Linked DNA regions of Coturnix japonica. The main gene of each other region encodes a partner of the protein of the gene in region 4 in a complex. Links are inferred from orthologs where the notes say so. Each region holds a gene or a part of one and is shown on either strand. Other genes may lie near its edges. The genes, in order: NCF2, RAC2, cytochrome b-245 chaperone 1, cytochrome b-245 heavy chain and cytochrome b-245 light chain.

Region 1 (3,564 bases), on a different chromosome or scaffold from region 4:
CAGCCGTGTCCTGCACCATCCAGCTGAGTGTTCAGAACCAGTGGGGGGAAAGGAGGAGAGAAACAAAGGAGCAGAGTTTAGGCCCCCCTATGAGGTAGAACAGTAGCATCACCCCCTGCTCCTGACATGATGCTGGCTTCCATTCCCAGGGCTCTTGAAGGGCAGCCACACCGTGTCCTGTATGAGTTCATCCCTGAAACTGCTGAGGAGCTGCAGGTCCTGCCAGGAAACATCGTCTTTGTCCTGAAGAAAGAGAAGGACAACTGGGCTACGGTGATGTTCAATGGGAAGGTAGGGGGTCTGCCTGGCACAAAAGGGAGATTTACAGAGGCCTGGAAGGAGTTTCTGAACCCAGTTTCCTTGCATCCCCTATTTGAGGGGCTATGAGCTGGTAGAGGCAACCTCCTGGTGTCCTGCTCCTGTTGCTCCTACCAGGCAGGGGCCAGATGTGCTGCTTTGTTTGCCTGACCACATGTGCTCAAGGCAATAAAGTGAGCTGGTTCACCCTTGCTGCCCATCTTGGGGTGCCATACAGAAATCATTCCTTCAATCTCCTGGACGGTCGACTAACACCATCTGTTCCCTTTGTCTCTTCCCTGCAGAAAGGGATCGTCCCCTGCAACTTCCTTGAGCCCATGGAGCTCCAGCACAAGCTGCACGTCCAGGTAAGGAGCCCAGGAGGAGCTGGTGGCCCCAGGAAACCACATAGATCACCCAGCAGGATCCATGCCTGCAAATCTCTCTTACAATGCTGTGGGACTCCTGGCTCATGGCTATCTCATGGCTACTGCCCTGTTCCACCCCAAATCAATGGACAGCAGGCAAAGCTTAGCCCCAGGACTCCTGCCTTGAGTAGCAGGACGGGGTCCCCAAGGCAGCAGCACCCCTGGGCTGTGCCTGCTCCCCTTAGGGATGCTGACTGCCTGCACTGTCCTTTTCACACTGGCACAGGAGGAGGCCCCTCCCGAGCCCGACATCCCTGAGCCACCCAGCAGCACCGCTCCAAGGCCCCGGCGGCCAGCACCAGGTCAGTGTATGGAGGGGAGGGATGGGGGAACTGCAGGGACAGTCTCTTGTGTACTGTGATATGGAGAACCAGGGCTGGGGGCCATCTCTGCCTCTTTTATAGCGTGGGTTTAAATCAGGAGGCAATGCTGCAGCTGCAGCACCGAGGATGGAACAACAACAAAGCTCGAGGTCCCCTTTTTGCTCTTAATTAGGGCAGCAGCTAATGGGAAAAAGGGCCTGGGGAAAACAACAGGGCAAGTGACCCAGCTTGCATAAGTCCCAGAGCACAACATGCATTACAGGCTTCTCCATACAGCAGGGCAGCTGGGAGCTACGACTGCGCTGGGAAGATGTGCTGCTGGTGCTTCTCAGCACCTGGGGTAGGGCTGGGGCCAGAAGCAACTATATGACAGAGGGCAAGATACATTGTTGTTTGTGCTTTTTGTGCTTGCAAATGCATCAGTAACATCAAAGCCCACAGAGGAACAGCATCGCACCTAAAGCTCCAATCCCTACAAACACTGAACAGGCCCTACATTGTGAGCACAGTGACCACCTGAAACAACAGCAGGCAAGGCAGAGCCCTGGCCTCTTTGTGGTTACTGAGGAACCCCACAGAAGAACCTCACTGTAGCTGATACTGATCTGTTTGGGCAACCACAGCCGGCTCCAGGGCTGGGTGGTGCTACAGATAACAGCAGGTGTTGAAGAGAAGGGCTGAGAGGATCTGGAATCACATTTATGCCCACAGCAGTAAAGCTTACACTGTGCTCCACTTGTTGACCCATCTTTTCCTTCCTCCTCAGATTTCATTCCTGTTACATCAGCGCAGCAGAGAGAAGCCAATAAGGTAAGACCTTGTGCTGCAGTGAAAAGGTAGAGCCCAGATCCACATCACATACAGCTTGGGAGAGAAGCCTGATGCCCCAATTCACCACCTGCAGGAAACCGAACCGGCTGTCCCCAAGCCCTATATTGTCAAGGTGCATTACAAATACACGGTTGCCATGCAAGTCAAACCAGACCTGTCCTACAAGGAGCTCCTGGGCCTCATTTGTGACAAGCTGGAGCTGCAACCTGAGCACACAATGCTGAGGTGAGAACTGTCTGCTGCAGGAGTCAAGTTTTCGTGGCTCTCCCCTTACCTGTGTCCTCTGGTGCCCAGGTACAAGTCTGCAGTCAGCAAAGAGCTGGTGACTCTGAGCATGCAGAACCTGGAGGCAGCTTGGAGCCACAGCAAGGATCAGTGCCTGACAGTGTGGTGTGACTGCACAGAGGTGGGTGGCAGCACCAGCCACCAGCTCTTCTACTGGTGCCGGCAAGGGGCTCAATGGCAGAGGATGAAGCCTAAGCAGAGCTTATCTGCCATGATCTGGAACAAAGCAGAAGCCGCATGGTGACTTCACCAGCTTCTTTCCTGCCCTAGGGAGAGGGATTTTTACCTGACAGCAAACCAGAGGAGCCACAGAAGGCAACAGCAGAGACAGGACCAAGCCAAGTGGTAGCACAGTACAGTTATGAGGCCACCCAACCCGAAGACCTGGAGTTTCAGGCAGGAGATGTGATACTTGTTTTATCCAAAGGTAATGGTGCTCCTGCCACTGTGGGAGAGGGGAGGCTATTGTCATGGTTTTGTAATGTTACATTGCTATTTTCCTGCAGATGATCTTAACGTTCTGATCTGAGGCCTGCCTGCAGCACAAGAGGGTAATGGTGCTCCTGCACATCCCTAGGGTGACAAAAATGGCATCAATTTTATCTTGCAGTGAACGAAGACTGGTTGGAAGGGCAATGCAATGGAAAGATCGGCATCTTCCCCTCTGCTTTTGTTCGAGATGGTAACACTAAAGACCCAGAAATGTGATTTCAGAAGAGTTTAAGGAGACTGAAAGAAATTAAGAATTCAAGTGCTGCAAATAAGAAGTTCCCATGTTAATTACTGCATCTGAAAACAGACCTAAAAGTGCAAAAGCAGGAAAATAAAACATCTTTGCAATTTATTTCATTTTCTTTCAAATTGGAAAATAAAATAAAACTTTAAACCTTCTTTCAATTTTCTCCAGAAAAATAATGTAATAATGTGTTTTTCAAAGCCCGCAGCTCAGTTACATGGGGGGAAATAAACGTAACCACACAGACCTGGATGAAGAGAACATGGTTTAATTAAAGGCAAAGCTGATTTCAGCAGCTGCAGTTCTTGCACAGACAGACAAATAACACAAAAAAAGCTTACGACACAAACCAGTTTCTGTTGGGGTCCCTTCCCTCGCTCCCCCAGGCACCGGAGGGCAGGATGGGGGTCCCAGCCCAGAGCCGGCCGTGTTCCTGACACCGGGTTCTCATGCACAAGTGGAGCGGTGCGCTGGGACCTGGCACTGCCAGGAGTGAGGTGGTGAACCTGGGTCAGCTCGCTGAGGGTGCAAGAGTCAGCGGCAGTTCAAACACTGGAATGTCGCAGCTGCCGGGGTGCACAGCTCAATACACAAACTGAGGGGGCTGGGATAGGGGTGGGGAAAGGGGGGTAGGGGAGGGGGGGGCTGAGTCAATATTAGCATT
Region 2 (4,383 bases), about 55 Mb from region 4:
ACCACCCACAGAGGGAACACCTAGTACATCTGGTAGTTTTATGCTTCTGACACAGCCGCGAGGCTTGGAAACTTTCCACGGTTGAATGTTTTTGGGTTGCAGCCAACACTGAGTGACGGATAGGAAAGTGCTACACACCTGAATGGGTCAACTGCAAAAAACCTCCTGTGGCTGTGGCAGCACGAAGGTCACCAACCTTTGGAAAAGCAGTTTCCCTCGGCATTCCTTCTTTCAAGAACAAGCTGGCTTAACACCCACTGCTCTTGGTCTAACAGGCCTCCTGACAGACCTAGAAATTCTAATTAATTCTGCGTCACCGCATCCCTTCCTCTCTCAAGTGTGCCTCTATCTGTCTACCCATCAATTCAGGCTGAAGACATGAACATGTGCGCTCTTTTCCAGGCATAGCAATGCAAGCTGGGGGAAGTAAGGAGGAGCTTCAGACTCTCATTCTGAGGAGTGAAAGGAAGGAGTAGAGCACCATGTCTCTTATTTCTGAAGGTGACTGCATCCCTCTCTTTGTTGCTTAGCTCTAAAACTCTTCAAAATCCCAAGGACAAGATGAAGGATATCCTATCAGCAGTTCTCATAGGCTGCTTTAGCACAGAGTGGAGAGAGAGAAAATGGTTTGTGGGGACTCTCTTGCACAATTCTTAGCTCTTCTAGTAGCAGCTGGATAAAGAAAATTCAGTACATCCTCTGATATGTTTACTCCTCTTCATGACAAACACATAGATACACCTAATGCTTCTTTGTACTAGTAATTCAGGAGCAGATGAGGAGGAGGCACAGGACATTATTGCTCCAGGGGTGGTGGAACAAGCAGCCATGGGGTAGATGCTGCTTCCAAGAGACTGCTTATTTCACCACTGACACTGAGGGATAGACCCATTAGAGCTGGAAAGACCAAGATCACCCAATCAAACTGCCAGCCCATCCCCACCATACCTACCGACCATGTCCTCAGTGCCACATCCACACGGCTCTGGAACACCTCCAGGGACGGTGACTGCACCACCTCCCTGGGCAGCCTGTGCCACTGCATCACTGCTCTTCCTGAGAAGAAATTCTTCCTAATATTCAATCTGAACTTTCCCCAGAGAAACGTGAGGCCATTACCTCTTGTCCTTTTGATACAGGGAAGACATGGGAAATCCTCATTGCCTCATGTCCTTTGCTACTCTCACTGCAGGTCCTCTTGCCTGTTTACACCTCTTTCAAACTCTGTATGCTACAGATGAGAGGGGAAAGCCCACTCTTCCAGTTTCTCACCCTTCTCCAACATTACCTCAGCTCCCATGCAAAAGCAGTTTGGTGCCCCCAGATGTTGGCTCGGATGGGGCAGGAAGGCAGTGGGTTGAGACATGAGGTGCAAAAGAAAAAAATTACAGCAATAATCTCCCAAACCACAAAGTCATGCACGCTCCGCCTACAGCTAACGGCCTCACTGCAGAGCTGCGGTGGGAGGGGAGGAGGAACCAGAGGGCGATTGAGTGAAGTTCCCTCTTCCACTTCCTCCCTCCCTGCAACCTGACCCCTTGCTCCGGCTCAAGGTCTGATACCCAAATTTGCCCGTGTCTACTGGCTGTTTGCCTTGACCTGACTTTCCTTTGCCCCAGGCACTGTCCTCCACCACAGGTCTAAGGACATGCAAGCCATCAAGTGTGTCGTGGTGGGAGATGGGTATGTATCCCCTTCTTTTTCTGTGGGAGGGAGGAGTGGTGATGAGGGGTGAGGAAGAAGGTTGCTGCTTGCTGAGACCTCCCCAGCTTCATTTCCTATCTCTTACAGCTCTGCATTGCATTTCTTGCTCCTCTTTCTTCACCATGGCAAGGAACTTGGCTCTGAAGAGCCTGGGGGGGGAGAAGAGGGTGCTTTGAAGGGCATTTGCAAAAGTGGAACTGTCACTCACAGGCCTGGCAGATCTGGCTCACACACAGAAGGCAGTGGCATCACTGCCAGATTCAACCTATGGGTAGGAGTCAGATTGAAAATCTGAGAGGTGCAAGCGCCCTGCTGCAGGGGAATGGCTCCTTGAAGGCCATCTGCTCACTGGGGCTGGCCAAAGGAAGATGCAGAGCCATAGTGCTGATGAGATATCCTCCAGTATCTGCACATTCAGCCTTTCTTAATGTGTTGTCCATTTTTCAGTGTGTGGGGAGAGTATTTGGTGATGGGCTTCTGTGGGCGCAAGGAAAAAGGGATTGCAATGAGATGGGTGTAGGTTTATACCCCTTGGAAGCATGCACTGTCCATGTCCCATGACCTTTGGAAATCGATCTAAGCTGACAAAAAGCAAGGCAGTGGTGCTGGGGACCTGGGGTACAAGGTCTGTGGATGGGTGGGATGAGTGGATGAAGGGAGCAGAGTCCAGCAGGGAGCAGGTCATCAGGCATGGAGGTGGTTAATTCATTTCCTAGCTGGGAGCTGGCCAGAATGTTATCTGGGACAGCTATCAGGCAACAGATGAAGAGACATTTGCAGCAGCCCTGCTCCCCACAGTCACTTCCTCCTTCAGATCTACCCCATGGAGGAAGAAGTTTGCAAACAGCAATAGATGTCAGACATATTCTCAGAGGCTGGGGCAACAGGGTTGGAGGAAGAGACAGGGAATGAGACAGTGCTGTGTAAACATTGTTACATTTTGGAAAAGTGCACCAAAGGGTACAGGCTAGAGCTGGAAGAGCAACAGTACTGGGCATTGATATGTTGTCCTGTTAACCTGTGGGTTGCCCTCCATATATTATGCTGACTCTTGTAACCACCCCTCAAGGCAGCATTCCCCTTATAACACCACTGACTCCACTACACGTCCTTCTGACTGAAATCCTCCTAAATCTTTTGTCTGCCCCATAATTCTGCTTCTCTGTACACTTCCCCCACCCTCCAACTAGTTGTCACCACCCTGAGCTCTGTGGTTTTATTTCACCCCCTTCATCTCCCTCTCAGCCAAACCAGCCTTGTCATTTTCCACCAACTCAAACCTACTGACCACAGGACCTTCTGCCATCACTTAACTGACCCCTCATGTTCCCCCATAGTTGTTCTGGCCTCATAGCCAGCCCCATCACATATCACCTGCCTCTTAGCTCTCCCTGAGTTCAATCACAGGAACCTGCTTTGCCATAACCTTCACCCCTTTGGTGACCCTTTGTGCTCCTCTCAGTTCAGTCACACTAATTCAGAACCTTCTCTCCTTTCCATGCCTAACTCACCCCCTTGGCACCACAGGTCTTCTGAGCCGTTCTGCATAGAGTGAGCCTCCATGGTCATCTACAACAAGAGCTAAGAGGGAAGCTGGGGAAAGAGAGGGAACTCAGTGAGGAGGATATAAGAATGGGAGGTGGCAGAGAGAAAAAAAAGCATCAGAGCATGCTGAAGAACTGTTTCATCTTCAGCTGCTTCACAGTGTGATGACTGAGGCAAGTGCCTCACCACCAGAGCAAAGATGCCAACTGTGCATGACAAGGGCACACCAACACACAGAGCCACAGCTCTGCAAAAGTAGACTTTGCAGGTATGGATGAAAAGCTTGGAGGCTGCTTCATGGCCAGATGGAGTGTCTCCACCAGTCCTCTTGCCCATTCTGTCTTGTGCTGCTACCCTGACTTATTTCTCTCCACCCTGATGCGGTGTGTGGGTGGGAGAGGCTGAGGAAGGAGGAAGCACCAGCTATATGCGCAAAAAAAGTGTGAGCAGCCTCAGTCAGCCACAAGGAGAGGCACCTTACTGGTGGCTTGCAGCTCTTGGTAAGGTTGATAGTGCAGCTTGCAGTGGCTCATAGATGGTGCAAACTGTCAAGGCTGCGGACAGCTGGGAAGCTTAGTTCTGACATTTCTGCACCAGGACACTGTGAGGCTATCCTGGCTATGAGTGTGCAGTACTGTGCACACACTGGAAAAGGGGCTCTTATCCCCACCTGGATGTAGTCTAACTGAACAGTCTTCATACCAGACCATAAAAACAAGCTTTTGTGCTCAAAGACAACCGACTGCTCTGGGTGACAGCATATCTTCCTTCCATCCGGCAGTCAAATCTATGGCTATGTGATATCTAGTCTTGTGAATGTGATAATCCTTCCATAGTTCTCCTAACAAACTTGTAGCTTTGAGTCATGGGAGGGTTTCTCCATCTCACCCCTGTAAGACTACCTGTACTACCATTGTTCCCAGCTATGTTTTTTATTTCTCTTCCAGAGCTGTGGGGAAAACCTGTCTCCTCATCAGCTACACCACCAATGCCTTCCCAGGAGAATACATCCCCACTGTGTGAGTGACACATCTGCAGTCTGGGGGTGGGTGGGAGGCACGGAAAGCAGGTTATAAAGGAATGCTGTCGTGAACCCCCATACCAGTAGAGGAAGAGAAGCCAAACCAACATGAC
Region 3 (3,661 bases), on a different chromosome or scaffold from region 4:
ACTTATATAAAAAACTGATTTTTAACTGAAAAACCACAGCATTATTTGTATCTTCCCCACGACGAGGCAGAGACTGAAAGCAACGTAATCAGAAAACTTGGAGTACTTCAAGAGCACATCTGCAGATAGAGGTCTGTTTTGATACCTGACACGATTACAAGTTCTTATTTAATACTAACACACCTGGTTCGGTGCCACAGTCAGGCTGCATCAAGAGCAGCTCCCCATTACACTTGGATGAGCCTTTCAAACCAGCAGTAAGAGCGTGTTGGTCTCACAAATGGCTGGAAGTGAGATCAACCTGTTCTTTGGTCAGATAAACGTACACAGTTTCTGTTACCAATGGAACACACGACTGAAATCGTTTCGTAACTTTCACTTCTTTAGAGGTAGAGTGTTTTTTAATAGGAATGTGGGTTAAGTCCTGAAGAAACAGAGGCCAACAGACATTTAACTGCTGGCATGGAGGCAGATTGCTCCATCACCTTGCAGGCTATTCAGACCTCCCAGAGGAAACTATCAGTATTTTCTAATTCAGGTCTTAACTCCATACAACTCCTAACACAAGTTGGTAAACTCGAGTATAAGCAGTTCTAGCACAGGAAAGGAACTTCTAGCTCTTACAATTTCTGTACTTGTAGTACCAGCAAGTTGATAGAGGCACAATGACATTTCAGCTCAAGACAGAACATGTTGACTAAAAGAGGTAGCTTTTACTTCATAGAGTACCTTGGAAAATTCATCATTTTAACCATTTATGAAAACAGTGGTCAGAACAGAGGCAGTACACACAGAGTAGCACACGGGCCCAAGCCAAACACTGAGCCCAGCTATCTTAAAAGCAATGCCTAAGTTACTATTTACTTCCTCATTACTACAGCAAAATACTAAACAAACATAGGCTGCCATGGTGTCTGACATCAGTCTTTTCCCTACCTGAAGGAATGTCTATTTTCTTCCTTCCTAAATACACAGTTAAAATAGTAAACATTTAAGTCTAGAATAAGGCTATTCTTTGGGTAGTCTATTCCCAGAAGTTAAACAGAACATAAAGGCATTGAATGACCAACATGATCATTTGTTGGTTCTTAGTTATGGCTCCTTATTAATTCTAAGTCAGATAAGTTGAGCAACCTGATGTTTAAAAATCCAGACTATCACTCATGATTTCCATTGCTAATGGCAAGTCAGTAGTAGAGAATATAAAAGTGCCACTACCTTGCATCACCTTAGTGCATATATTAAGCTGCTTAAGACCAATTTAGCATTATATTCACTCATTTACAGGATTTCAAAAAACCTCAAAGCACTGTGTTCTGAGTTAAATTCAGCTATTCTGCATTTCATATACTGTACCTGCAGATCTTTGCATTAAGTGGAAGCTTACATCTATAGCTCCAATTCATTAATGGGAAAGTACATTTTTAAACCTGTACAATAATAAATAACTACTCCTAGGCAATTGTGACGAGCTGACAAAGTTCAAAAGACAGCAGTGTCCACATCCAGGAACTAAGATAGAATTTGCTTTCAATTCTACAATTGGGAGCACAGCTCTTGAAGCAGTTTAGCACTAATGAAGGTGCCCTAAGACAGACTGCTCCCACTGTAAGTGCACGTGTGGAGAAATGCCCAAGTCAAGACTGAAGAATTTTATAATGAAGAACAACCGATCTGTCATTTCCAGATCTTTGAATGTCTCCGCTTTCTTCAGCTCATGACTATTAATATTCATCTTGGGGTTCATCAGCATCACTAGGCTCTGTTTCGCTGCTCTCATAGACATCTCCTTGGCTCTCTGCTCTGTCCAATTCCAGAAAACTGGTGACAAGCTTGGCAACTGCTTCCACATCACTGTGGGAAAGAGAAAACAGTGTAGGAGTTAATAGAACTGTGCTGATGAAACTATAACACGTACATTAATTTCTTCTCCAAAAGAGAGGTCAGGTGCTGGAATGGGCTGCCCAGGGAGACGGCTGAGTCTCCATTCCTGGAGGTGTTCAAGAATTACTGAAGTTCTGCACTAAGGGACGTGGTTTAGTGAAAAATAGTGGTGATGGGTGGATGGACTAGGTGAACTTGGTGGTATTTCCCAACCTTGGTCATTCTATGACTCTTGAGAACAATCCTTTAAAGGGCCAGCTGATATGACAGAGCACGACTGACAGCATCCTACATACAGATGCACATCAAGCCAAGCAATTCTTTGTCAGAACACATTAATCCTCTTTTCACAGTTCCTGCTGCAAGTGGTTTGAAAAAGTTACACCAAATAATAATCATATCAGCAGTTCCATATCATCAAGCGGTTCCATGGTGTAATGGTTAGCACTCTGGACTCTGAATCCAGCGATCCGAGTTCAAATCTCGGTGGAACCTAAGAGTTTTGTCAGGGACATTGCTGGGAGACTTCCCAGTCTGATCTGCCCTTCTGTCTACTATCCCCTGCTGATAGTTCAGGCTGGCAGTGAAGAAGTTAGTAAAAAAAGCCTGAAGGCTATCAAAGATGATTTCAGGGGACTGGGGCGGGTAATCGAAGGAACAGGTGTGCAGGTGGTTATTGCATCTGTACCTTCAGTGGCAGGGAGGGATACTGAGTTGGACCTAAAAACCCACCTCTTAAACAAATGGTTAAAGAGTTGGTGCAGACATAGGAGTCTTGGTTTTTTTGATCATGGGGCAATTTATTTGGCTCCTGGCATGACAGCTGCAGACGGAAGCGGCCTGTCTCAAAGGGGTAAGAGGGTTCTAGCCGAGGAACTGTCAGGACTTATTGACAGGTGTTTAAACTAGGTAGGATGGGGGAAGGGGACAAAACGAGGGCCGCTGGGTCTGAGGCGGCAGTTCAAGACTCAAAGCAGAGCTCGCTGGGTGCAGACAATGGAGTTAAAAGGCACGGAGAGGGGTGGGGAGATGCTGCCTCTCTCAAGTGCCTGTATACCAATGCACAAAGCATGGGGAATAAACAGGAAGAATTGGAGTTCTGCGTGCGGTCACGTGGCCATGATCTCATTGCGATCACGGAGACGTGGTGGGACAGCTCGCATGACTGGAATGACAACATGGAGGGCTACGTGCTTTTTAGGAAAGATCAGCTGGCAAGGCGGGGTGGTGGAGCTGCTCTTTATGTGAGAGAGCAGCTAGAATGTATTGAACTCCACCTGGGGGAGAGTGATGTAGAAGTCCAGACCTTGTGGGTGAGAATCAAGGGCCAGGCTGGCAAAGGTGACACTGTTATGGGCGTGTACTACAGGCCCCCTGATCAGGAGGAGGAGGTTGATAAGGCCTTCCATAAGCAACTGGAAGTAGCAGCACACTCCCAGGCACTGCTACTTATGGGGGATTTCAATTATTCAGATATTTGCTGGATGACCAACATGGTACGGTCTTGTTCAACATCTTCATCAACAGCCTTGATGAGGGGATAGTGACCACCCTCAGCAAGTTTGCTGAAGACACGAAGTTGGGAGGATTGGCTGACACGCCTGAAGGCTGTGCTGCCATTCAGTGAGACCTGGACAGGCTGGAGAGCTGAGGCAATAAAGAACCAGGATGAGGTTTAACAAAAGCAAGTGTTAGAGTCTTGCACCTGAGAGAAATAATTGCATGTGCACCAGCTACAGGCTGGTGGGAAGAGCTGTGAGAGAGGAGCTCTGCTAGA
Region 4 (4,303 bases):
CACAAATGTAGGTTAGTCTTTCTTGCAGCTAGCACCAATATCAAAGGAGCTTTGTGATGCTCATAAAGCTCATCTCAGTTTCAGAAGGTTGCTGCCTAGGACTCTAGCTCCAAAATGTCCCCTATGTGTGCATCTCTGCAAAAGGAATCTGGGGAAATTAATTGCCTCATCTTTTAGGAATATGTTCCTATGTAAATTGTTTGAGAAACAATTGGAAGGGAAAATGGATGCACAATAGTTCCAACATCAATGCCTTATTCATCTCCTCCTTAATAAAGCAGCCACCATGCATATTCACTTTAATTACCATGAGTACAATTGTTACCTGGAAACATCTTTAGGATGAGATTTCTATTCAGAAGCTCTGACAACTATGTGCATTCAGTTATCTGTTTATTTGACTCCTTCACGAACCTGCTGCTGCAGCAAATTCATCCAGTTTCAATCAAATAAAATGAGGAAAAATGCTGCATGTGCACTCTGTGCCAAGATAATGTATGTTTTGTACTTACGCCAAGGAGTACTCTGGTGTAGAAGAAATTTTGTGGGAGATCATATGCAAGATAGAACCACCAAAAGAGGAAGACGTTTAACCCCAGCCACACAAGCTGAAAGACAAATGAAGAGGAAACTTTAAACTCTGTTGTTAAAGATCATTCATGAGAATTTACACAGCACAGAAAATGGCCAATGAGATCACTGTGTTTCTATTTGTAGAGACAGCTGTGCTGCTGAGTATGAAGGGCTCAGCAAGGACTATATATATATATATACATATGTATATATATATACTTCTTTTTCCTGGTAGAAATTAGCTTTGAGGAGTATAAGAATGGCAATAAACCCAAATACAGATATTTGCACAGTTCAAAGCATTTACACATGATTATATAAGGACTGTAATGTTACATGTGTCTAGTTAAGTCTGTGAGTCCAGTTGAATCTCTAAACATCATTAAAAGTTAGGGCCTCTTCCAAACAGCACTTCCTCAGGCATATTAACCGTTGCAAGAGGAACACTTAATTGCTATGCAACAGCACTAAGAAGCTTGAGCTCTAAATATAGATTGCCTTAATTACACCCGAGGCCTGACCATAACGTTTTCTATTGTGTAGGAGGCTCTAAATATGAAATCAGTCACAAGAAATATTTAATGTAGGCACCTAGGTAGAGTTTAGACTACCCAAAACCAGGCTTCTTCATAGCTATACTGCAGTATTCTCTCACAGTTGTGTATTCTACAGTGTGGATTTCTACAGGAAAAGAGAAGTTATTAGCCCTCCTCCAAATTATTTAAGGAGCTCATCTGGCTGCAGAAATTATAATGAATTTGGCCACTTGCCCTTCAAATCAGCTGTTGGCTGATTTCACGTACTGAGGTATCTGGTACAATCTGTATCACTGCACCTCTATTCTAAATAGATTAACCAGGATGGAAAAACAGAGAAAAGAAACTCCAAGAACTAGGAGAAAACTCAGTCCATGCATGTAAGTTAAGTATACCAGAAACTGTGATTTGACAGCCCTCCTAACCCATATTTTTGCTGGTCCTTTGGCCCAAACTGACATCGTAAAAACCTGGGATTAGTTTGGCATTGAAGACATTAGATATATGGATTTAGTCTGGGAAAGTGAAGGGATTTCCACCAGTTTAAGGGAGTATATAGGGAATCCCCAAATCCTTATTATAAAATTAATCTCAAGATCAAATGCTCACGCACTTAAAACGAAACTGTGCTACTTCCAAGTACAGTTGCCTCACAAGATGCCGATCTGTGATGGACTCTCATAGTTCTTGGTGCTGACCCATTCAGAACATGGACCCTTTGCAAAACACTGCAGCACCCTTTGCCAACTGGAGCTGGGTGGCAAAGTTAACTGCCACCCACACTCTTCAGCTAGGGCAGGTGGAGGGAGTGTGTGCTGCCATTAAGGCTGATAGGTATCTGCTTCACTGGGGCAAACCAATACAAATCATGTCTGTTTCTATCAGGCATGGGACAGCCCTGCAAAATAATGCTGTAGTGGACAGAGCAGAATGCTTTGGTAAGGATTTCAGTGAACAGTACTTACATATACTAACCCAACTTTGCAGAAATCCCTTAAATGGCGTTATGTATTATATTATAATATAAGCACACACATATACTTGTACTGAGTGTGATATTGCGCTGATGTGAAAAAAAGAATTCTGAAATACTAACTTCTGCCTACGTTTTTTCCCAGTTTATCTCGATGAAATGAGAATGAGATTTTCAGTACTTCTAAGTCTTGCATGGAATGAATTGAACATACCTTCACAGCCACTCCATGCAAACTATATACAAAATGGATTCAAATGCAAGTTGCCCTAATGAAGAATTCATGACTTTCTGCTCTAAATTCTGGACTCTCACTCTAATGCTAATTTTCTATCCTCAGGACACATCCACCGTGCTCTCAATTACATCTACTTCTGTGTACAAAAGTGCAAGAAAACCTCGTTGTTGTGATTGCTTTCTATTTTGAAGTTCAGTCGTTAACAATGAGATGCAGTGTTATTTTTTTCCCTTAAGACATTGCTGCACCCAAAAATAGCAGGTACTTAAATTCATTTCTAGCAAAGAAAACAGCTGACATACAACCATTACTCAGTTCACAATGAAGCCTACAGCGACACATGTACCAGGGAGAGCTCCATAAAAATCATGTTCTTGAAGTGCGTCACTGCACTTGCTGCCCTGGCTTGAGAATAATCAAACACACACAGTATTCACTGACACAAAGAGATCTGCTTATTAAAATGTCCTGTAGAGCTTTTTACAGGACACAAATCACAATAAAAATGGTACTTACGACGACAAAGATGGACAGTCCTTCATTCTCCACCCAGTTACCCATGTTTGCCCGAGATGAGAATGCACAACAGCCCCGTTCTTTCTGGGACACTGTCTGTAACTTCTCTCATAAGGAAGTGAGAGCAGAAGCTTACAGCAACCTGTTTCCTTTTTCATTCATTTAGGAAATAAATTAACCATTGAATCATACCCATAGTTCAATTTCAAATGTGTTTCTACCAACTTTTTATAACTCATATATATATAAATGATTGAGATAAACCATCTCTTCCTCAAGATACGAACTGTGGATAAAATAAATAACATAACTAGTGAGGCTTTCTGCTGAAAAATGTATTGCCACTTTAAATAACTTTCAGCACTGAACTGTAATACACAATTCACAGAAGAATTCTCTCATCCCTGGCCTTGTCTTTATCATCCCAGGTCAGAGATGCCATTCCTGCAGATCCCTTTTGACAAATAGTCACTAGAATGTTTTATGTTTTGATCTCTTGAGGTTCATGGAAGTCTCCACATATAATCAAAAGCTCTTCTTTTCTTGGGACATACATGCAAACCTTAACATCTCCTCTCCACTTGGGTTAACAGGAAGGACACATGTCACTTGACTGTCCCTTTTTTTCTTCTTTTTTTGTACTCTCACACAGTTCCAGCCCTGGGAATCCAGTCACTATAGAAAATAATGATAATAATTATAATGAAGACTTTGCTTCTGTGATTGGAGAGAAGAATATGGAAAATTGTCCATGTATATTTTGTAGCTTACAAGCTCATCAAACATTTATTCCAAAGGTATTCTTTCTTTAACTAACAATACCTTTGAGGTAGTTTAATGATTTCTGAATGTTTTGCCTCTGTGGTATCACAGTTCCCAAACCCACAATAAAGAGCATACAATGAAAAGTGGACAGGGAAGGCAAAGTGTCTGTTCTGATTCATGGATGTCTATTCTAGCTGTGAAGACTAGCCAGCTCCTTCCACCCAGAAATAGCAGTACTCTACCTGTCTTTTCTTCCAAGCAAGTGTGTGAAGCCAGGATGCTCTGAGCTTCAGCAGACATAAGAGGCAGCTCCTCAGACATAAGAGCCACCAAAACATGGACTCACTGCCTTAGGAGGCTTCTGGCAGGCCATAAACCCCACAGGGGCAAAGCTCCGATCAGTCACAACTGTCAAAATATGACACTCTCTTGACAGCCTAACTAGCAGCCATGAGGCAGAATATATTTTAGCTGCTCTCAGTCAAGCAGTTATTAAATACCCATAGATTATTTCACCACCTGAACTCAAGGCATAGAGGTCTTGAATACTTCCAGAGCTGGTGGATGCTGTAGCTCTCTGATATTTGGGAGGGTTGCCATTAATATGAAAATCGACAGGACAACATTTAGCAAAAAGCCATTGCATGGTTTCTGTATGTAACAGGTGTGGCTAGAGTTGGTAGCAAAACCACCCACACAACA
Region 5 (4,073 bases), on a different chromosome or scaffold from region 4:
CCCCCCCCACAGCCCCTTGAACCCCCATAAGGCAGCAGCCCTGGGCTCTGCCTTAGCCCTCCCCAGTTATTTATTCCCCCTCAGTGCTATTTATTGAGACCTCCATGTGCTACTGAACGCCAGCCTGAAAATAAAAGCCTGACCCCACAATGTGCCACACTGGGATAAATGGGAGGGCAAAGGGTTGAGGTGCACAGGGTCCCCCTGTGGATGCTGGAGGGGAGGTGCCAAGGATGCGGGGATAGAGGTGCATTGGGAACCCCCATCCCAGCCACCCCAGTGGATGCTGGGGGGCATCTCCCATCCCCAAAGCACACCCAGGGGAAGGGGGAGGCAATGGGGAGGGAAGGGGGGGGAATGGGGGCGGCCCCATGCCAGCACCCTGTCACCACCCACTCCTTTCTCACAGCTCTGCCCCAAGCACTCACATCCCATGGACTCAGCGCCACCTACCGGGGTTGTTCCATATGCTTTTAGAGCACCCATGGGTGCTGGAGGTGGGGGGAGAGGGGATATGGGGCTGGGGGTGTCACCTCTGGGTACCCTAACCCTAACCACTGCAGGTCTGTCCCATCGCTGGGGTCACTAAAGATTTGGGCACTGAGCTCCCAACTCACACCCAGGGCACATGAATGGGGTGTGATCAGGAAGGATCTGGGGCCTTTCGGTCCTTTTATTGCAAAAAGCAACCAGAAAAGAAAAAAGACAATGTATAAAACGTGAAGAGGTGGCGCAGCAAGCAGAGCTGCGTGAGCCCACAATGGGGCTGTGAGGCTGGGGGAGCTCCTTGGGATATGGGGGCACCTGAGCAGCCCCCAGGGATTCTGAGGAACCAAGGGGGGGGAAGGAGGGGAGATGAGCACCCCTAGGGGTCTGGGGACCAATGGGGGGGTGAGGGGTACAGTAGGGAAGTGAGTGCAGCACTGGGACCCCCAGCTCCGTGTTACTCAGCCTCTACAGGGATGGGGTTCACCTGCCCCCCCACTTCTGCTGCCTGTTTCCTGCGTGCATCAGCAGGGGGTCGGGGTGGGGGGTTGCTGGGGGGCTGTTTGATGGTGTCCCCCATGTGCGGCCGCTCGCGGGGCTTCTGCTCAATGGGTCGCCATTCCTCCCCACGCACCGCTGCCTGCAGGGCCAGGGGGGAGCAGTCAGCAGGGAGCCCCCTCCTTCAGCCCCATAATCAGCCCCCATTACCCCCCCAGAGGAGCTCACCAGCAGGTAGATGCCACTGGCAATGCCCAAACAGACGGTGCCCAGGATGGTGGAGAGCAGGAAGCCAGCAGGGACGGCCAGCCTGAGGGTACAGGGGAAGGTTAAAAGGGGGGGGGGTTCAGGTTCACCCCCCAGCCCCAACCCCACTCACGCTGCGTGCAGGATGGCACGGATGTAATAGTTCCGGGTGAGCGGTCCAAACACCTTCAGCACTGCTGTCATGTACTTCTGGCCACTATGGGGCAATATGCAGAGTCAGGGGGGCACCCGGCCCCAAAAGACCCCCCCCCTAAATATATATAGGCACCCCAATAGCACCCCATCACTCACCAGCGCTCCATGGTGGAGCCCTTCTGCCTCTTGCTGCGTGGGTATTCCAACAGGCAGACGAAGGCGCCTGCAGCACTGCAGGGGGATGGGGGTCAAGGAAAAGGGGGGTTTGGAGCCAAGGGTGGGGGTGAGACCCCACAGGGAATGGGGCAGAAATGGGGCCAGGGTTGGGGGGCAGCTCCATAGGGAAAGGGGCAGGAATAGAGCGATGTGGGGCCACAGAGAGGGAGATGAGGGACCCCCCCCCCCCCCTCCCCGCCTGCACAGAATAAGGTGCCCCCTCCCACCCCGAGCCCCATAAGGATACATGGCGTAAGCTGCGAAGTACCAGCCCTTGAACTGCCCCGCCACCGCCACGATCCCTCCGGTCAGCATGACTGCGGGACAGCGGGGACACTGCTGGCATCCCGGCTATTAACAGCGGGGGATGCTTCGCGTGGGACCCCCACGAGCCCAAACAGGGAACGGGGCGGGGGGTTGGGGGTTAAACCCTATAGCGGCCGGGCTGGGGGGCAGCGGGGGGGAGACCCACGGTGACACACGATGTTGGTGATACGCTCCGGCAGCGCTTCCGCGTCCTCATCGCCGCTCACTTCCTCCATCTCCGGGCGGGGTTGGGCCAAAACGGGATGGGGGGGTCGGGGGGGAACACAGCCAGGGGTCTCTCCCCATATCCCGTATCTATAGCCTCACATTCTCAACCCTACACCCCCAGCCCTGAACTCCCTTCCCCATATCCTCACCCCCATCCCTGCATCCCCATCCCACATGGGACCCTTTGACCCTCCCCCCATCACCCAGCCCCTTTAACTCCCCATCTCCCCCCCGCACTCACTCAGCCCCGCCGCCAGCGCCTGTTCGTTGGCCCACATGGCCCATTCGATCTGCCCCATGGTTCGAGCTCAGCCTTAGTTCGGGCTCGGCCCAACCCGACCCGGAAGGCAGCGATGGAGCCGAACAGCCGAACCCCTTCCCCTCCTTAAGCGACGCCCCTTCGAGTAACCCACGCCCATTCATTACAAAGACACGCCCCCACGAAGAGCCGGGCCGTAGGGGGACACGGGGTGATACGGGAATATATAGGGTGACATGGGAATATATAGGGTGACATGGGAATATATAGGGTGACATGGGGCAGGAGCAGCCCTAATGGGGACCACGGAGCGACTCGGGACTCAGAGCAGCACTGCGGCTGGAAAACCTCTATTATTTGATTAGAAAAGAGTAAAAACCAGGCAATGGGAGGAGCCACATCTGGGTCGGGATGGGGACAGATGAGCACAGCATCTCACAGCCCCAATGCAGGCAATGGGACGGTGGGTCCCTGCCTGTGTGCCCCCCAGGGGCAGCCCCCATTGGGCATCCCTGCTGTCCCCAATGGTGTCCCCATCACGGTGTCCCCATCACGGTGTCCCCTGTTCTCAGGCAGAGTGGCATGGCAGCCCATCGGGGCCCAGTAGATGCTGGCTGGGGGCATCCAGGAGCTGTGGGCCAGGGCCAGGCTGTGGGGACAGGAGATGTGTTAGGGGACAGCACGGAGCAGGAGGCTCAGGACCACCCCCACCTCCCATACCTTGGTGTGTAGGATGTAACGAATGGCCCCTGGTACCGGATCCATCACCACGGCTGACAGCAGCTCCTCTGGCAGCACCGCTGTGCCAACGGGTCGGCCTCGAAGGAACCTGCAGCAGGGATGGCACCCAGATGTCCCCAACCCCACCCCATGTCCCATGGTTCCATCCCCATCCCCATCCCACCAGTCCCCGTCCACATCTCCATCCCTATCGCCATCCCACCAGTGCCTATAGCCATCATCTCCATCCCCATTCCCACCCAAATGTCCCCATCCCCATTCCCACCCCCCCAGTCCCAAATGACAACACCCTTACTGGTCCCCATTGGAGCTGGGTGGGAAGCTGCGCCTCACCACCTCCACAAACTCATCCACTGTATCCTCCAGCATGAAGACGACCGCATTGGGGCCAGCATCGAAGGTATAGGCCACCTGGGGACAGGGACACAGTGAGAGGGGTGCAGTGCCAGCAGGACGGGGCCATAGGGGGGGGGCTGCCCTACCTTGGTGCACCCATGGTGGGCATTGAAGCGATGCACCAGGGCGATGATGCGCCGCGAGATGTCATTGAGGTAGAAGATGGGGGGGAAGGTGTCGAGGCAGGTGGCGTGGAACTGGTTGCTGTCCTGCATGGTCAGCTGGCCAAAGGTCTCAAAGTCTCGATCCTGGATGCAGCGAGCCATGCGGGTCATGCGCTCCGGCACCACCACCTCAGCACGGTACTATAGGGGCAGCACCAGGGGGGGGTCATCTCATGGATCCCATAGGATTCACTTCCCATGGCCCCTCAGTACTCAGCCATTGGAGGAGGTGGCCATGATCCCCAAACCCAACCCATCCCACCATGCTCACACCCCGACACCTCCCCACCTCCCCATGCAGCCTGTGCTGCTCATCACCAACCATCCAACCCACCTTCAGCAGGGGGCTGGTGTCCACACTGGTCTGCATCCCCGCC

What was found.
Region 1: cytochrome b-245 heavy chain (region 4) and NCF2 share a complex: the UniProt entries of both Homo sapiens proteins name them as parts of the phagocyte NADPH oxidase complex. The link is inferred for Coturnix japonica from reciprocal best matches to the Homo sapiens genes CYBB and NCF2.
Region 2: cytochrome b-245 heavy chain (region 4) and RAC2 share a complex: the UniProt entries of both Homo sapiens proteins name them as parts of the phagocyte NADPH oxidase complex. The link is inferred for Coturnix japonica from reciprocal best matches to the Homo sapiens genes CYBB and RAC2.
Region 3: the proteins of cytochrome b-245 heavy chain (region 4) and cytochrome b-245 chaperone 1 are in contact, whole or in part, in a cryo-EM structure (PDB 8KEI), measured with the Homo sapiens proteins. The link is inferred for Coturnix japonica from reciprocal best matches to the Homo sapiens genes CYBB and CYBC1. Residues at the interface, in NP_000388.2 of Homo sapiens: Trp28, Asn74, Leu75, Leu76, Ser77, Phe78, Leu79, Arg80, Gly81, Ser82, Ser83, Ala84, Cys85, Cys86, Trp206, His210, Phe212, Pro266, Met268, Trp270, Lys271, Ile273, Tyr280, Tyr324, Phe326, Lys328, Leu335, Glu336, Trp337, His338; in NP_001028218.1 of Homo sapiens: Arg22, Leu26, Ala37, Ser41, Gly42, Asp43, Trp47, Phe50, Tyr51, Phe57, Gln61, Asn62, Glu64, Lys77, His97, Asp98, Gln99, Val100, Val101, Val102, Leu103, Arg108, Ser111, Glu115, Val117, Arg118, Tyr119, Phe120, Arg129, Ala131.
Region 5: the proteins of cytochrome b-245 heavy chain (region 4) and cytochrome b-245 light chain are in contact, whole or in part, in a cryo-EM structure (PDB 8X2L), measured with the Homo sapiens proteins. The link is inferred for Coturnix japonica from reciprocal best matches to the Homo sapiens genes CYBB and CYBA. Residues at the interface, in NP_000388.2 of Homo sapiens: Thr116, Ile117, Leu120, Phe121, Val123, Glu124, Asn128, Asn133, Lys161, Asn162, Pro163, Gly166, Leu167, Ala170, Val180, Thr183, Leu184, Ile187, Leu188, Thr191, Ser192, Thr194, Lys195, Thr196, Ile197, Arg199, Ser200, Tyr201, Glu203, Val204; in NP_000092.2 of Homo sapiens: Gln3, Ile4, Glu5, Trp6, Met8, Trp9, Glu12, Gln13, Ala16, Ile20, Thr23, Val27, Gly31, Phe33, Thr34, Gln35, Arg56, Arg59, Met65, Gly102, Phe103, Leu104, Leu105, Ala106, Ile108, Leu109, Ala112, Cys113, Ile116.

What each region holds. Positions count from the first base shown.
Region 1 is NC_029523.1:4,321,366-4,324,929, forward strand, and holds the end of NCF2 (neutrophil cytosol factor 2), read left to right. Parts: intron 1-149; coding exon 150-291; intron 292-602; coding exon 603-665; intron 666-951; coding exon 952-1,027; intron 1,028-1,814; coding exon 1,815-1,858; intron 1,859-1,952; coding exon 1,953-2,104; intron 2,105-2,173; coding exon 2,174-2,285; intron 2,286-2,434; coding exon 2,435-2,591; intron 2,592-2,670; coding exon of another isoform or gene 2,671-2,693; exon of another isoform or gene 2,694-2,774; coding exon 2,775-2,872; 3' UTR 2,873-3,055; downstream 3,056-3,564. UniProt on the Homo sapiens protein: Subunit of the phagocyte NADPH oxidase complex that mediates the transfer of electrons from cytosolic NADPH to O2 to produce the superoxide anion (O2(-)).
Region 2 is NC_029516.1:46,920,025-46,924,407, forward strand, and holds the start of RAC2 (ras-related C3 botulinum toxin substrate 2), read left to right. Parts: upstream 1-1,474; 5' UTR 1,475-1,648; coding exon 1,649-1,683; intron 1,684-4,196; coding exon 4,197-4,268; intron 4,269-4,383. UniProt on the Homo sapiens protein: Plasma membrane-associated small GTPase which cycles between an active GTP-bound and inactive GDP-bound state.
Region 3 is NC_029533.1:3,011,898-3,015,558, reverse strand, and holds part of cytochrome b-245 chaperone 1, read right to left. Parts: intron 2,380-3,661; exon of another isoform or gene 2,308-2,379; intron 1,855-2,307; coding exon 1,725-1,854; 3' UTR 1-1,724. UniProt on the Homo sapiens protein: Functions as a chaperone necessary for a stable expression of the CYBA and CYBB subunits of the cytochrome b-245 heterodimer. Controls the phagocyte respiratory burst and is essential for innate immunity.
Region 4 is NC_029516.1:102,024,748-102,029,050, forward strand, and holds the start of cytochrome b-245 heavy chain, read right to left. Parts: upstream 2,962-4,303; 5' UTR 2,882-2,961; coding exon 2,837-2,881; intron 609-2,836; coding exon 513-608; intron 1-512. UniProt on the Homo sapiens protein: Catalytic subunit of the phagocyte NADPH oxidase complex that mediates the transfer of electrons from cytosolic NADPH to O2 to produce the superoxide anion (O2(-)).
Region 5 is NC_029526.1:16,406,118-16,410,190, forward strand, and holds cytochrome b-245 light chain, read right to left. Parts: upstream 2,691-4,073; 5' UTR 2,674-2,690; coding exon 2,378-2,673; intron 1,920-2,377; coding exon of another isoform or gene 1,850-1,919; intron 1,618-1,849; coding exon 1,543-1,617; intron 1,448-1,542; coding exon 1,364-1,447; intron 1,295-1,363; coding exon 1,213-1,294; intron 1,127-1,212; coding exon 944-1,126; 3' UTR 649-943; downstream 1-648. Other genes in the region: MVD (diphosphomevalonate decarboxylase), read right to left, coding at 2,964-3,044, 3,116-3,224, 3,432-3,547, 3,619-3,837, 4,031-4,073. UniProt on the Homo sapiens protein: Subunit of NADPH oxidase complexes that is required for the NADPH oxidase activity that generates, in various cell types, superoxide from molecular oxygen utilizing NADPH as an electron donor.